Linked DNA regions of Oreochromis niloticus. The protein of the gene in region 1 purifies or fractionates together with the protein of each later gene. This does not show direct contact. Links are inferred from orthologs where the notes say so. Each region holds a gene or a part of one and is shown in the gene's direction. Other genes may lie near its edges.

Region 1 (8,097 bases):
GTTGTTTTGAAATATTGTAGGGGGCGCTGTGGAGCCATTTTGCGCTATTCCAAGAAAATGATGACATAACAAGATAGCACTCATCACATTGGAGGTGTGCGCCAAATTTCAAGACTTTTTAAACTTTCCAAGCCCCTCAAAAGCCACTTCATCTTTCATGGTGAACGGCGTTGCCACCAGGGTGCGCCGTTCAGTTTATAATCACAAATTTCTCACTGAAGCATCAAGAGGGACTGATGGTGATATTCACCGCTTTTGAGGTGGCCACGATGAACCTGTGAAAATCAGTACAACAAAATGAAAGACATGACATTTCCTGGTGCCACTAGGTGGCGCTCTACGTATTCCTGACAATGGGCATATCAATCTGTTCAGGGCGGGTCTGACATCATCCCTGTAAAATCTGGTACTGATCACATTGGATTTCATTGAGTTACACTAATTTGTTTCTTCATGGCGAGACCTCAATGTTCGCCATGCTGCTGGGGTCACACCCTTCAGCGAAAACTCACAGTTTTCTCTGGAACCCAAGACCAACTCCTTAAGGCTTTCCTGGAGAAATTTGAGGCTGCAGATGTCACCCATTACAATACTGTACCCCAAAGTGTAAAACATGACATTTCCTGTTCCCACTAGGTGGCGCTGTCCCTGATGTCAAATATGGCAGTTGAAATATGTTCAGGGGTGGAGCCTTATCATATCTGTCCACTTTGGTCAAGATCGGACAATGTATGACAGAACGAGAGGCAATAAGATTTTCATGGCGAGTCATCGAAATTCGCCGTGGCGCCACGGCCTCACCGTATCGCGAAAACTCAAAAGCTCCGCAATTTAACATGGCCCAGGTGTGTAGTTGACACTGACCAAATATGAAGCTTGTCCGATGAAATTCCAATGAGGAGTTCGCAAAAGTTCGAGGCGTGGAAATGGCAAAATTAGAGCCAAAATGTCACCTTCACTTCCAAATGGCGGACTTCCTGTTGGGTTTGCATCAATGGTCCCACTGACTTTTTTGTTCGTCTTGGCATGTTACACATGTGTGCCAGATTTCAGACATGTAGCTCAAACGATGTGTTCGTAGGGCTGCATTTAACAAGGCATAGGTGGCGCTCTAGAGCCATTTCCCAGTGCTCCTATGTAAAACCAATAAAATACAAAATTTTTCACCAGACCTGGCATGTGTGCAAAATTTCAAGAGTTTTTGAGCATGTTAAAGCCCTCAAAAAGGCCCTTGTTTTGCCTGAATAATAATAAGAAGAAGAAGAAGAAGAAGAAGAAACAGAGCAGATACAATAGGGCCTTCGCACTCTCGGTGCTCGGGCCCTAATAAGAAACGGAGCAGATACAATAGGGCCTTCGCACTCTCGGTGCTCGGGCCCTAATAAACGGAGCAGATACAATAGGGCCTTCGCACTTTTAGTGCTCGGGCCCTAATAATAATAATAAGAAGAAGAAGAAACGGAGCAGATACAATAGGGCCTTCGCACTCTCGGTGCTCGGGCCCTAATAAACGGAGCAGATACAATAGGGCCTTCGCACTTTTAGTGCTCGGGCCCTAATAATAAACGGAGCAGATACAATAGGGCCTTCGCACTTTTGTGCTCGGGCCCTAATAATAATAATAAGAAGAAACGGAGCAGATACAATAGGGCCTTCGCACTCTCAGTGCTCGGGCCCTAATAATAATAATAAACGGAGCAGATACAATAGGGCCTTCGCACTCTCAGTGCTCGGGCCCTAATAAGAAACGGAGCAGATACAATAGGGCCTTCGCACTCTCGGTGCTCGGGCCCTAATAAGAAACGGAGCAGATACAATAGGGCCTTCGCACTTTTAGTGCTTGGGCCCTGATAATAATAAACAGAGCAGATACAATAGGGCCTTCGCACTCTCAGTGCTCAGGCCCTAATAATAATAATAATAAAAAATGGAGCAGATACAATAGGGCCTTCGCACTTTTAGTGCTCGGGCCCTAATAAACAGAGCAGATACAATAGGGCCTTCGCACTCTCAGTGCTCGGGCCCTAATAATATGAAACGGAGCAGATACAATAGGGCCTTCGCACTCTCAGTGCTCGGGCCCTAATAATGATAATAAGAAGAAGAAACGGAGCAGATACAATAGGGCCTTCGCACTCTCAGTGCTCGGGCCCTAATAATAAATGGAGCAGATAAAATAGGGCCTTTGCACTCTCAGTGCTCGGGCCCTAAATATAAGAAGAGTAATAAAATAAATATACACTTTAGGACTATCTATCTATCTGTCTATTAGGTTATGTTGTGGTGATTCTCAGGTTGGGGGATGGGTGTTCATACTGAAGTGCAAAATTAAAACCAATGGAAGATGGACAAGTAAAAGTTCAAAGCCATCAGGTGCTCAGTTAATAAAAATGAGAAAAGAAGAGGAGGAGAAACGAGCAAAAGATACAGGTAAGCAGATGTGTCATTGGATAATGGCAGGTCATCCTGAAACAATCAGAATCATAATCAGAATACTTTATTAATCCCTAAGGAAATTATGTGGGTTACAGTTGCTCCAAGAAGAAATGGTAAAAATAGTAACAGTAACAGACTAAACTCCAAACAATACATTATGTTACAGATTTTAATGTTGATTAGTCATTGTCAATTGTTGATTTGTCCTGTTCTCATTGTATGACACATTATGATGGCTGTTTGGTAGCCGTTTGCATACTATCCATACTTTCTCTCTCTTCATATCCGTGTGTGTGTGCGCATTTTTCTCTGGTGAAATTCAGTATGGTTCTGACAACAGTTTTATGTTAATGTACAATCCTTAATACCTTTCGTGCGTGTGTGTGTGTGGGGGGGAGTGTTCGCCCAGGGCGACAAACAGGCTAGGACCGCGGTAGGAATTAGAATCAAACTTATGGGAGAGGAGACCCCTTGGACATAAATCAGCATAATGAGAACTATTGAAAACAAAAGAAAGAATCTTTGGAAAAAAATTATCTGAGGAGAATAAATTTATTTTAGTCTGACCCCAGTCCCATCCGCTAACATGGAGGAGGCGGGGTTTATGACCTTGCCATCACCAGTGTATGAATGTGTGTGTGAATGGGTGAATGACTGAATGTAGTGTGAAGCGCTTTGGGGTCCTTAGGGACTAAGTAAAGCGCTATACAAATGCAGGCCATACTGCAGCCAGACACCAGGGGGCGATAGAGACGTTTTGGCTTCATTTTTGGGGAGCTGTCGCGTCGTCCATGTTTTCTACAGTCATTGCACTGTACCCAGGTGCTTCTTCTCAGTGTTTTTATTTTTATCAGCCTTTGTCAACAAAGGGATGAGGGTCATACGGTGCTCTCAGCCATGCACCGTATGGCTGAAGCTTGTTGCCTGCTCATTCCACTGAGCTAAACCCTTCTTCTTGGTGTTTATTTGTGGTTGAACCAGAATGTCACTAAAGGATTACATTCTCTCATACAAATGTGCTTTCCTAAGATTATTAAAAATTGCCTGATAACTGTTACTTCTTGAGTTATTTCTAAGTAAATCAATGAAATCTACTTTCAGTTTAATTTTATTTAGGTTTTGTCTTCTTTCTTACTCTTCTGAAAGCGTAATATAACATGCTCTATTTTGTGATTATCTCCACAGTACTTGCATTTTCAATTGCAATATTTCCCTAAAATGAATAATGTGCCCATGTCTTCTGCTTGTTGGTTTTCCTGGTTTTTTACCAGCTATTTGGCAATAAAGGTCTGATTCGCACAGTCTCCTCTGAACAGTTAATGTGAAGATGTGTCTGCTACTGGAACTCTGTGTGGCATTTATCTGGGCTTTAACTAGAGGTGCTGGTGACTTGGATGAATTTATCCTCAGCACCAGAGGTGACGCTTGGTCTTCCTTTCCCGGGGCAGTCCTCATGTGAGCCACTTTTGTCATAGCGCTTGATGGTTTTTGCTACTGCAATTGGGGACACATTCAAAGTTTTAGCAACTTTCTGGACTCACTGACCTTCAGTTCTTAAAGTAATGGTGGACTTTCATTTCTCTTTACTTAGCAGATTGGTTCTTGCCATAAATATGAATTGTAACAGTGTCAAATAGGGCTTCACACCTGTGAAGTGAAAGCCATTTCTCTCAGTGAGCTTTCATGAAGCTCACTGAGAGAAGGACAAGGGTTTGCAGTTCTGTCAACAAAGCAAAGTGAGGCTACTGTTAGGAATCTAAAATATAAGATATATTTGGAGTTGTTTATCAGTGTTTTCTTTGCTACATTCTATATATCTTGTTTCATATATTTGATGTCTTCGGTATGTACCTGTAATGTAGAAAGTAGTAAAACATTAAATGAGAAGGTGTGTCCAAACTTTTGACTGATAGTGTATTATAGTAAGTATAAGAAATTCCTTTTTTTTCTAGCACAAATGGTGAATGCGGAAATGTATTTCCTAATATCCCTGTCCATAGTCGGCTACTGACAAGAGCATATCAGGAGTGAGAGCATATCAGGAGTGAGAGTGATAAAGAGCAGTCTAGACCCAGTTAATGACCCATAAGTGGAGTGAGAGAGAGACAAACTGTTACTGATACTGTTGAAAAGTATATGATGAATACATTCATCAGAGATTCCATGTTTGAAATTTATATTTTATATTATTTGTATATTTTGTATATTGTATAATGCTGTACCCTTGTGATTTTTCAGACATGCTGATTATTTTGTTTTCTACTGTCGCAGGCACCCAAGTGTAAATCAGAGCTTCCATTTTAAAATTAGTTCATGTGTAGCAATTCCAATTCAGCTCCACATTACTTTGCATTTTAAGACTTTACAAATGACTTATTTATGTATTTTTAGAGCCTCTATTTTGATAGCAAAGTTAGGACAGAGCAAGGTAAAGACACACTTGGCTTATTTTTTGAGCCTTTCCACTGCTCTACAAAGATGACTTTCACGTTCTCTCATCGTTACCAACCTGCCTGGCCTGCAACACTGGGCTGCCTCAGACTTGAACATTGGCTCAAAACGAAGTACAACGTTGTCATATCGCTTATAAACATTAGATGGCAGTATTGTTTTCCACGGACGTTATCCCAGAGGCAAAAAGAAAAAGGAGAACTTCCTGTCTCTACCGTCTCTCCAAAAATGGCGGAGGTGTGTGGTCAAGTGTTATTGGGATCAGGGCTTACTGTGCTCTCCCATCCTTTGATGTACATTAAAGTCCTGATCCAGGTAAGAGGCGGAGAGTTTGGACAGATTCTGTTACGTTTCCTTTCAGGGCCTGATTCAGACACTCTTTACTTATCTTTGTAAATACTGTAACTCTCGCTAGTATCTCTCTAGAAGAGGAAATTACCATTCATTTTCACAGTGTATTGCCTCGTTTACCAGTAAATTAATACGTTTTTAGCACACACAGAGACCTTTAATAAGTCTTGATAACTATTTATTTGAGAATATAGCAGGAACTCTCCCAGTAATAGGATCGGCCACATTATTGTCCCCGTCTGTTGTCCCTGTGACCTTCTGTTTCCTCATTGCTGTGCAATAGGCGGAAGCCGTGTGTTAATCGTTTTCGAAAGTTAATAATTGACTGCAATGTTACCCTGCTTCATTTATATTCTGTGCGCAGATTGAACAAAAACAATTTGTGTTCTAGAGACATAATTCTACATAGCTCATACATGCCTTATTTTCTAAGAAAGCCAGCGGCGTTAAGTTGCCATTTGTTGAACTGCTAGAGATAACCGCAAGTTAGCTGTCAGCTGATTACCTCTAACGCCACTTTCTGTAGTGTCTTAGACTGATGTCTTCAACACACAGTGTATATTCATAAGTTTGTCACTGGGAGAAATGTATACTGTTTGCTTCTCAGTTACGATTACTGGTAGCTCAATGCCTTTAGCTCTTGAAAAACATGAAAATTACTAACACACACGAGCACGAGCACATCAGCAGAGGACCGGGGACTTGTATCAATTAACGTTTGCTTAATTACAACCAAAAATAGCTTACAGTTCAGGTTGATCTTAATGACAGAACAAGTCATTAAGTGATAGAGTGATAGTTTTACTAGATGCTAACAGTTCTCTGCCTTGTGTATACCGTGTCCATATTTGTAGCAGTCGGCTAATCATCAATTGTGCATGAACTGTTTGGGTTATATATGAATGCAGCACAGTGCACAAACTGGTGCCCTGTCAAACTTATGTGATATCTGGAAACATAGTTTTGTAAAGGAAAAATAACCAAATAAGTGAGTGCTAAATACTAAAATCAAAAGTCAACATCATCATAAAAAAAAAATAAAGATTTGTCTGTCTGTTTCTTCTTGCTATGTAGCTTGTGATGTGTTCTGTCTCACTCTCAATGGTCTGTCTCTCTACAGTGCCATTCAGTACTGGACACAGTCCTTCCTGGCTCTGTGCAAATAATCTAACTAAATATCTATTGGAAAAACACACTAGAGGAGATATCAAGCTGTACATGATATTCTGCAGATAAAAACTTCTCTTGCAGCATTTTTGGTGTTTTGCTGTATTTCTCTAGGGTACATAAAGACAATATTTGTTCCTCCTATGGTACCCTCTCATTGTTTTTGGTTTTGTGTGTGTTATCAGGTAGGACATGAGCCGCTCCCTCCCACCCTGGGCAGGAATTTATTTGGAAGACAAGTCTACCAGCTACCTGGACTGTTTGCTTATGGCAAGTTTGATTCTTGATATTTTTATAAATGGAGTTGGTAATATCAGTATTACAGTGCTTTGAATGATTGTATGTAGATATTTAACCTTGTAGTTCTACCAATATTTACAATGTACCCTGCTCTGCACTAAATGTTTCAGCAAAACACATCATTAGGATTGATGGAAGAGCTGGTCTTTTCAAAGGACTTGGTCCGAGGCTTTGTGCAGGCACTATTGGCACAGTCGTACACAGCAAAGTTGTACAGGTAAGCCTGAATAGATAGGTTTGCCACAGAAAGGTTTGATTAAACAACTATGTCCAGATGAACAGAATCAACTTTTGGAGATTTACTTTCCTGGATGATTGAGAATGCATCAAGACGATTAAACAACTAGTTTCTGTTTAGTCTTTTCTTTGGATTTTTTTTAGATGGTCATTTATTTCAATCATTTGTGATGCATACTAATGGCCTTCGTAAGTGACCTATGTGCTGGGACTAAAAATGGCATTGACTTTGAACTCCGTTTCTTACCATCTGTGTTGTAAGTGTAACTCAAAAACTGTTCATTCTGGCTGCTTGATAACCTCTATCCTCTTACAGAAATGTCAAGAACAAGGCACCCCACAGGTAAGTTTTTTTTTTTTTTTAAATCCTATTTATGGTCACAGTATGATAAGTTCAAAATGTTCACTGACTCCCCATAAAATGCAACAGTTTAGCCCCTGTCCCCTTCAAGATCCTTTCCCTGTGCAGCAACGCACCACTCCCCGCACTCCTATATTAAAATCTGTTGTTCTTTCACTTCTGAAAACTTGAAAAAAGTTGTACTGTATTGCCTGGATCGCTTATAGTAGAGCATCTAATACTGTTTTGTAACGGGTATTAAGTGTGGGAGTAAGGATCAGGTTATTTTTGAAAATAAATGTGGTAGAAAAATTTGTAAAATAAAGTAAATTTATTTTAGTAACTGAATAATCTATCGATTATTCCATAGTTTAATCGAGTAATCGGATAAGAAGTACTTTTGCCTTTAGTAGTGTCAAAAAGACACTACTAAACAAAAACTAAACCCTCTGATTGATTACATGTCATATATATGTCTTGATGCATTCTCAATCATCCAGGAAAGTAAATCTCCAAAAGTTGATTCTGTTCATCTGGACGTAGCGTTTTGTGGGAGAAATGTTTCATCACTCATCCAAGTGACTTCTTCAGTCTCAGCTGACTGCAGGTTTCCCCAAATCTTATAAACAGTACATTTGCATAATGACTGAAACCAACCCACTGAAAGAACAATAGGCTGTGAGGTCAGTTCCTTAATCATAATTATGCAAATTCTCATGACCATTGATCAACAATCACTGACCAAAACCCACTGATCAAAGACCACTGATGAATGGCCATGAGTACCATTCACAGAGAGTTGGGGAATGGCTGCA
Region 2 (7,831 bases), on another chromosome or scaffold:
TGTACAGCAAATGTTCTGAATCACTAGGCTTGATTTGGAAATGCAATCTTATCAGCACTGTCTTATCACAGTCCTTGATGAGACATTGCTTGTACTTTTAGAAACAACGAGTCTACACCTGACCACGGGACACCCGCATCCTTCAGTTCTGGCAGGTCCCACGGATCTGTGTCCTCCGGCTCATCCACGATCAGAGCCGCGGTGGAATGTGCAGGGCTCGCTTTGATTTCTATAAATAATGGGAAAAAAAGACCATTTTTGTCCTGCTGCACACACACATGTAATTCTGATGAAATCAATCAGTAGCTTTTCCTTACACACCTTTACTTTTATATCCATTTTTCTCATCGTTTTCTTCCTTACATTTGTTTTTTGTAGCCATTTGCTGAAAAAAAAATCAGATTAATTTTCACTCATTTAGCTTTAGTCATACAAACAATACTTACATTATATCGAAGTTATGGCAATATTTAGATCACACAAAGAAAAAACGCAATATTATACATAAACTGTAAAGCAGCTTGCTGTTATCCCTAAATGCAGCAAGCATTTACACAGAATGATGCATCGCTGTGTAAAATTTCCTCTATTTTTGCAGCAATCTGTTAGAGTGATGATTGCAGTTAACTAACAATGCAGCAAACTAAGCAAAGATACAGAAAACCTCATTCAGCTGTATCGACTCCTCGCTTTTTAAAACAAACTAATTTTCTCCAGCAGGTATTGGCTTCAGGAATAACACACACACACACACACACATCTTGTCTAATGCCAGGGTATTGATCTTTGTGTCACATGTAATTCCAGTAAAATTCCAGTCACTGGACAGTATGACAAAAAGAAAACACTCTGGGGTATGTTTCATCATTTTGCTATTGTTTATACTTTGATAATAATTTGTAAAGCTTCTAAGTGTGCACTATTTGTCTAAGCTGTGCCCGGTTTTCTATCATTACTCGTTCATAAGAGGATTACTGCACAGCTAATATTGAACGTCAGTTTTAGTTTTCACATGCTGGGCTTCAGTGGACCACATCCAATCACTTTCAGACTTAATTTCAGTGTTTTCTGTTCTGAATTCCAGCTCAAGTTTTGTTTTGTTTTTTTCACATGAATGAAGAGCCACGTGCATACTGTATGAGCAGTATGCATGTTAAAACATATTTAAAACATTAAGAAATAAATAAAATTTCAAAAACTACACACATCCTTGTGTTGCCATACAAATGTTATAGTTCATGAACTCTTGACCCATACTGATTCTCCCCATCCATCATATAATTTTATTAATTTAAATACTCCAGATTTGCATTCAGTTTTCAGTTAACAGCAGCAAAAATAATTAGAAGATTGACTGAGACATGTCTGTCCTCACCTGTGGCAGATGTAGTGTGTCCATCCTTCCCGTGCACTTTTTACTTTGGCCTCAGGTTTAAAAATGCTGCCTTCGTGCAGATAGAGTAGAAAAGGTGGGAGAGGGGTCAATGTAGACCAAATGAAAATGTGATGTGCAGTGTTCACATCACCGGGAACACTTCCGTCACGATGATAAGAAGAACACACCTTCCAAACTTTGATTAGTCTTACCTGACTCGGCTTTAATCTTTCTGCCAGTGGTGTTGCAATCCAACTCACATTGTACCTGATAAGTCTCAGGCTGGTGGCGTCAGCTTTCAACTGCACCTCCACACCTGCTGCTAAACTTACCTTACCGATATACTTTGTACGTTTTACACGCAAAACTCATAATCAGTTCTGTTTGCTTGTCCCATTTGAAAGTATGATCATCCATTTAAAACATGAACTTTTAAAGCAAAAACTCTGTACTTCATTTAGCTGTTAAAAAATAAAAAAATAATTCTTTGTTGCATGTCTCATGCACAGCTCTCAGAGTGAGGATAGCTCCAGCTGGTGGACCCTGAGATTAACATGGGAAAGAGGTGACAGACACAATGGATTCCCTGACAAAGATTTATCTATACCACACAGGGCGGTGGGGTGTGATCATTGACTGTAATGGGGGTGGGGTGGGTCTATAATGTCATAGAAGTCCAACTTGAGTGTATTTTTGGAGCATTTTTGGATAGAAATTATTGATTTTCCTAATCCAGCTACCCGTTGGTCAATATTTCAAAATGCCAGTGAACTAAGTTTAGCTCCATAAAACTCTTCATAACAAAAAAAGTAGAAGTCAGTCTGCGCCAAAGTGAAGGACTGAATCTCCGTGGTAGCTGCGCCAACATGGGAATCCAGGATCCACTGCTCTAGTGCACAACAAGCCCCTGTGGGACATTTCCATGTATGCTTCCCATCTGACCAAATGCTCTGTTGCTAATTTATTAGGTTCAGCTTGTCAATGTGGATGCACATGAAATAAATATGAACTCATAATTTTCCATTTTAAAGAAGTGCTAATGTGATTTTTTTAAGCACTTTTAACAAATACTGAACAGCTTAACTTTCATAAAGGAAATCTGTGTAAGAGGACAGTTTTATTAGAGATCACTGATTTTAGACAGATTAACCAAACAAATGTGTAACTGATCTTTTTAAATGGGGGTAGTTAATATTAATCCAAAAAACAAACCAAAGTGCCACAGTTAACTCAGCAAGTAATTTGTACCACATCTTAGAGCTAACTGAGTGGCCCAGTTATGTAACAGTGTGGTTAGCTCAAGTAACTCTGCAGTGACCTAATGAAACCATTGCCAGTATTGATTGTCCCAGAAGCCACGCTGTGCCCCTCTGCAACCCAGTGCACTGAGGTGCCCGTCTGGTTCTCCCAAAAGCCTACAAATTACAACTCTCCAGCTACAGTTCTGATTGCCTGATTATGCCTTAGCATTCCAGTTTGGCCTTACACCTAAACAGGAGCACCTCCATCACACACCAACACAGCTAAGGCACATATACCCTTTAGCCTGGCATCTCCTGCCATGCAGTAAAACCAAATGGAAGATAACTAAGGTGACAAAGGATACAACTGACCTCATCTTTTAGTTTTCTTTTACTTTTATTGATTATGGCCTCTCTTCTGTTGTACGGATTTTGAACATGCTTAGGATAAAAAGATTCACAGGCTTAATCTTCTCCTTAATAGCAGCATTAAAAGGCCTTTTGATGCATATATGTGCCTGTACATGTCATGTCCTTCTAAGAACCAAGGAAACAATTGTGTTTCAGTTGAACTTCTTTTGTGATATCCAGCCTATTTGGAGCTGAAAGAGGCCACCCAAACACATGAGATATTGGAAAAGCCAGGATGTTCTCTTTTGAGCACAACAGGGCTTATTATGGTAGCTCAAATATGTCCAAAGACACAGACCAAAAACAATTGTCTGTTAAAGAGGACATAAATGAATAGGCTGGTTCTCAGGAGGATGTGAGGCAAAGTCTTTTTCAGTTTACAAGTGCAACAGCATCATCTAGGCACTATACCATGCTATTACAGCACTGCACAATTTAGCTCTTATCACACATCTGTGGCCCTGTATATTATTTTTAATGCAAATCAAGTTGCCATTAATGGTTCCTAAACTGATACATCACGCACGAAGTACAGAAAAATTAGTTGTGCAACTCTGGAAAGCATTTTGCTGTCTGTAAAGTCTAAATAATCAGGACAACATGCATAAAATTATAGTAAAATTTAATGTGTTTTTCAATTGAAATATTATGTAGCATGCATAATGTATATTATAAAAACTTGTAGTATTGTAAAATATAATATGATGAGACATATATGATTATGTGACACACTATGCAAACATCTTGAGTCGCCCCTCATTTTGCTTTCTAGCAGCCAGACTTTCTTGTCATGTTTTTAAAATGTTCTTGAGAAATACTTCTTCAGGTTTTATGATTTATTTGTTTATATTAAATCAAAGTACTTGCACCTGGCTATTTTCACAGGAATGCTTTTTGTTTCTTAAGTCACTTAATACTGACCTATGAATGATTCAACCATGAAAAGGCTGTGTAATTCCGTCCAGTGTGTGCTTACAAATTTGAGCAAACTGGACAAGTGGAAGACAAAAAAGGCAGGCCTAAAAATATCTACACCAGATAAGCAGTATCTAAAAGTCATGTCCAGCAAAGACCTGACACGGGACCTGTGAGATGCATCAGGGGTGTCGAACTACAGGCCTCAAGGGCTGGTGTCCTGCAGGTTTTAGAGCTCACCCTGGGCCAACACACCTGAATCAAATTATTAGTTCATTACCAGGCCTCTGGAGAACATCAAGACATGTTTAGGAGGTCATTTAGCCATTTAAATCAGCTGTGTTGGATCAAGGATACATCTAAAACCTGCAGGACACTGGCCCTCGAGGCCTGGAGTTCGACACCTGTGACTCTAAACCAAGCTGACCCATCTACTGTTCACCAAATAAAAATAATTCTCATTAGTATCGGATCTCTTTGGACGTGTGGCTCTAAAAAAATTAATTCTTCTTACCAGCAAACCAATAGCCATACAATAAGGCAGTTATGATTATGAAAACAATTAAATTGTTTGCATAATAATAGGTGAAGATGTGAACCGGAAAGTGACAGAAATTAGTTCACATCCACTAGAGGGAGCGGGTAGACATCATTGGTACCGCTTTAACAGCCTTTTTTTTTTTTCAAAATAAAAGACCCAGTTGAGAGCTCTTTCAGATGTTTTAAAGTAATAAAACTGCAACGATATTATTTTTTTATTATTTGGAATGATGTTCATGGGAGATTACATTCCAGCAGTAAAACTGAGCTTAACACGTTTTCTTTTCTTTTCTCATTTTTTGTTAGCTAAACAAATGCAACTTTCCTTCAACTTCCGGGTTAATGTCAGCGCTATCTGTAGCAATGACATTGTACCAAACACTATATAAGTCAGTACGCCGAGTGGCATACACTATGTTAGTTCACATGCTTTGAGTTGTCAGGAAGCTTGGACATTATCGTCAGTATGTCGTCCTCCACTACAGGTTTCCCGGGCGAGCGGCAGCACCAACCGGCGCAGGTAAAAAACGGAGATAAACACGCACTAAGTTAGATGCTAACACGTTAGCTTACGGTAGCTGGCAGTGACTTTGTATGAACTGCACGCGCAGTTTTATGGAGACGGGGGTGTGCTTTGTTGCCCTCCGTTTTAATTTCAGTAATTTGAAGGTGGAAACGTTTGCGTGGATTTCTATGACTTCTAGCGGCTGTTAACTAACGGTAAGGTGTTTGCGTTAACCTGCAGACGCCGCTGAACATTGACTACATCCCCACAGAAGAAGAGAGGAGAGTGTTGAGAGAGTGCAACCAGGAGAGCTTTTTTTACAGGTGTAAGTTTCCCGTGCATGCCAGCTTGATGGTTTAGGATGTGAAAATGTTGTTTGTTGTGACTCCGTCGTGTTTACACTGACATCATTACGATTTCTCCACAGCGGTGCCCTTCTCTGTGATCAGCATGGCTATCACCCAAGCCCTAGTGGCCAGAGGTAATGTTGTTCATACTGTGGAGCAGGGGTGTCAAACTCATTTTACACAGTGGGCCACATTCAGAGCAGTCCAATCTGGTCTTCAATAGGACAGATCAGTCATACGTATTATAAAGTGTTCCTCTTTCTTTCACTCTGAAGATGTAAGAGATGTCTTATGAAAACAATTTATAAAGAAAAGATGTGGGAGTGAATCAGCATGTCACTGTGGTCTTAAATGTTTAGAAAGAAATGTAACTTTTTTTTGTTCTTTTACAGATAATTTTGATCAATTTTTACCACAAAACAACATTAATTTCTATAGAAAATAGTGAAAAACATGAACTTCTGCCAATTAATGGAGTACTAGCAATAATTAAAAAAAAATAAATAAATAAATCTATAATTATAGATAGATACTTTACTAATCCCACACTGTGGAAATTCCCTTGTTACAAGGGTCAGAAAGAAAAAGTAAATTAGACATTATATTTATACACAAGTATTTTTAGATGGTGCTTTTCCTGTGTCTATATTGTACACTTTGACTGCTGTTGGGATGAAGGGCTTGCGATAGTGCTTGTTCCTACACCGTGTTTGTAACAGTCTACTGCTGAAGGAGCTGCTCAGGGGCTCCACAGTCTCATGCAGGGGGTGAGAGGTGTTGTCCATAATGAACACTGGCATGGTTAACATCCACCTCCTCTATGGAGTCTTGGGGACTGGCAAGGACAGAGCTGTTGATGGGTTGCTGATATTTCTGTTTGTAAGATGGCTCTAAAACTGACAGAAAGCACAGTGAAATATTGAAATTTATGCTCTCTTTGTAATTTTCACATTCTCTAAAGCATCCAGAGGGGCGAGATCATTCTGGCCCCAGGGCCATAACAATGGCCCTGGGGTGTTTAACATCCCTGCTGTACTGGAATCAGCACAATATCAGTTAAATGAACATTGTCACATGTTGATCCTCAAGTTGACATGAATGTGTTAAATTTGCAGGGGCTCTGTCTGCATCTCCAAGATTTGGATCTTTACCCAAAGTTGCCTGTAAGTTTGTGTTAAATATGTGGGAAACACACATACACACACTTACCCTGTATTTACTGAGTAGAATAAGAAAAACCTCTCTATTAAACTCAGTTTGTGTTGTTTTCTCATTTCTTTTCTTTGACTGTGTTTGACCCTACAGTTGCTGGTTTCTGTGGCTACCTGGCTGGAAAACTGTCATATATGAAAACATGTCAGGAAAAATTCAAGAGGCTGGAGAACTCTCCTCTTGGTGAGATTATCAGACAGAGGTCAGGCCTGCCTCCACTGAAGTGAGTATCACATACACTTAATTAAATGCTGGCCTGTTGAGATTAACTGTCAGCAGCATTGCCTTTAGCATATGTCCCCTTCTCTACAGATCCCAGGGTCCTCAGTCAGAGTTGGGTGACCCAGACTCTCAGTCTTTTGAACCCATATTCCAGCCTGCAGAGGCCTCGAGCCACACCTACAGCAAAGATTATGGATATGGCTACAGTCCAGACCCACCAGCACAAATGGACAGAGGAGATGACTTTAGTGCTCCAGGTATTCCAAAGGGGCAATATGTGGGTTATTCACAACTGAGTTCTCAACAGTAGCTCACCAAAAGAAGGTCCTGGGGCCAAAGCTTCCTGTTCTCCTTTTGCAAGGAGTTTGCAGCTCCCACTAGCCATCTTCAGTTAATTTTCCACGAGCATGAATATTATATTGATAAAGTGCTCTCTGAATTTTGCTTGCAGCAAGAATAGAAAAGTGCTACCAGTGAATACCAGGTCTTTCCTTTTCACTTGTTACAGTGAGGTGGTCATCAAAGTCCAGCATTTACTAGTTTTTCTTGTACAGCATACATCTGAAATTACTTTTAAAAAAACAAGAGTTGGGTGCACAAATTTGAATTTATTTTCGAGTTTCTCTAATCCACAGAGGGTCAAAAATATATACACATATCTCCCCTGATATTTTGTTGTATGTCCCTTAGCAAGTTGCACCTTAGCCATATGCTTCTGGTAGTCATCAGCAAGCTTCTGGCATAATGCTGGCTGGATTTCTTGGTTAATTTAAATCTGTTGATTTTCTGGCGCAGGTCTGACTTTTTAAGCGTACTCCAAAAACTTTTAATAGACTTTAAGGTCTGAGCTTTCTGAAGGCCACTCCAGCTTAATGGCAACCTGCTTTATCTATTGCAAAGTCAGTTTTAAAGTACTGAGATCATTGTCCTGTTGGAACACTCAGTTGTCCAAGTTTCAATCGTCATTTCAACAAAACTTTCCAGTAGAAATGAACTTTTTAAAAAAAAAAAAAAAAAAAAATCCCATCTTTTGCCCTGTAAATTTCAGTCCAGTCATATGTGG

What was found.
Region 2: the proteins of mtch2 (region 1) and OCIA domain-containing protein 1 purify together in Homo sapiens (affinity purification with mass spectrometry; 3 studies listed by BioGRID and IntAct, with this or other methods). This does not show direct contact. The link is inferred for Oreochromis niloticus from reciprocal best matches to the Homo sapiens genes MTCH2 and OCIAD1.

What each region holds. Positions count from the first base shown.
Region 1 is NC_031965.2:3,929,301-3,937,397, forward strand, and holds the start of mtch2 (mitochondrial carrier homolog 2), read left to right. Parts: upstream 1-5,049; 5' UTR 5,050-5,115; coding exon 5,116-5,202; intron 5,203-6,590; coding exon 6,591-6,675; intron 6,676-6,815; coding exon 6,816-6,922; intron 6,923-7,258; coding exon 7,259-7,285; intron 7,286-8,097. UniProt on the Homo sapiens protein: Protein insertase that mediates insertion of transmembrane proteins into the mitochondrial outer membrane. Catalyzes insertion of proteins with alpha-helical transmembrane regions, such as signal-anchored, tail-anchored and multi-pass membrane proteins.
Region 2 is NC_031971.2:23,931,312-23,939,142, reverse strand, and holds the start of OCIA domain-containing protein 1, read left to right. Parts: upstream 1-4,795; 5' UTR 4,796-4,948; coding exon 4,949-5,002; intron 5,003-5,227; coding exon 5,228-5,312; intron 5,313-5,414; coding exon 5,415-5,468; intron 5,469-6,449; coding exon 6,450-6,497; intron 6,498-6,639; coding exon 6,640-6,769; intron 6,770-6,858; coding exon 6,859-7,025; intron 7,026-7,816; coding exon 7,817-7,831. Other genes in the region: slc34a2a (solute carrier family 34 member 2a), read right to left, coding at 119-229, 322-385, 1,376-1,399. UniProt on the Homo sapiens protein: Maintains stem cell potency. Increases STAT3 phosphorylation and controls ERK phosphorylation. May act as a scaffold, increasing STAT3 recruitment onto endosomes. Involved in integrin-mediated cancer cell adhesion and colony formation in ovarian cancer.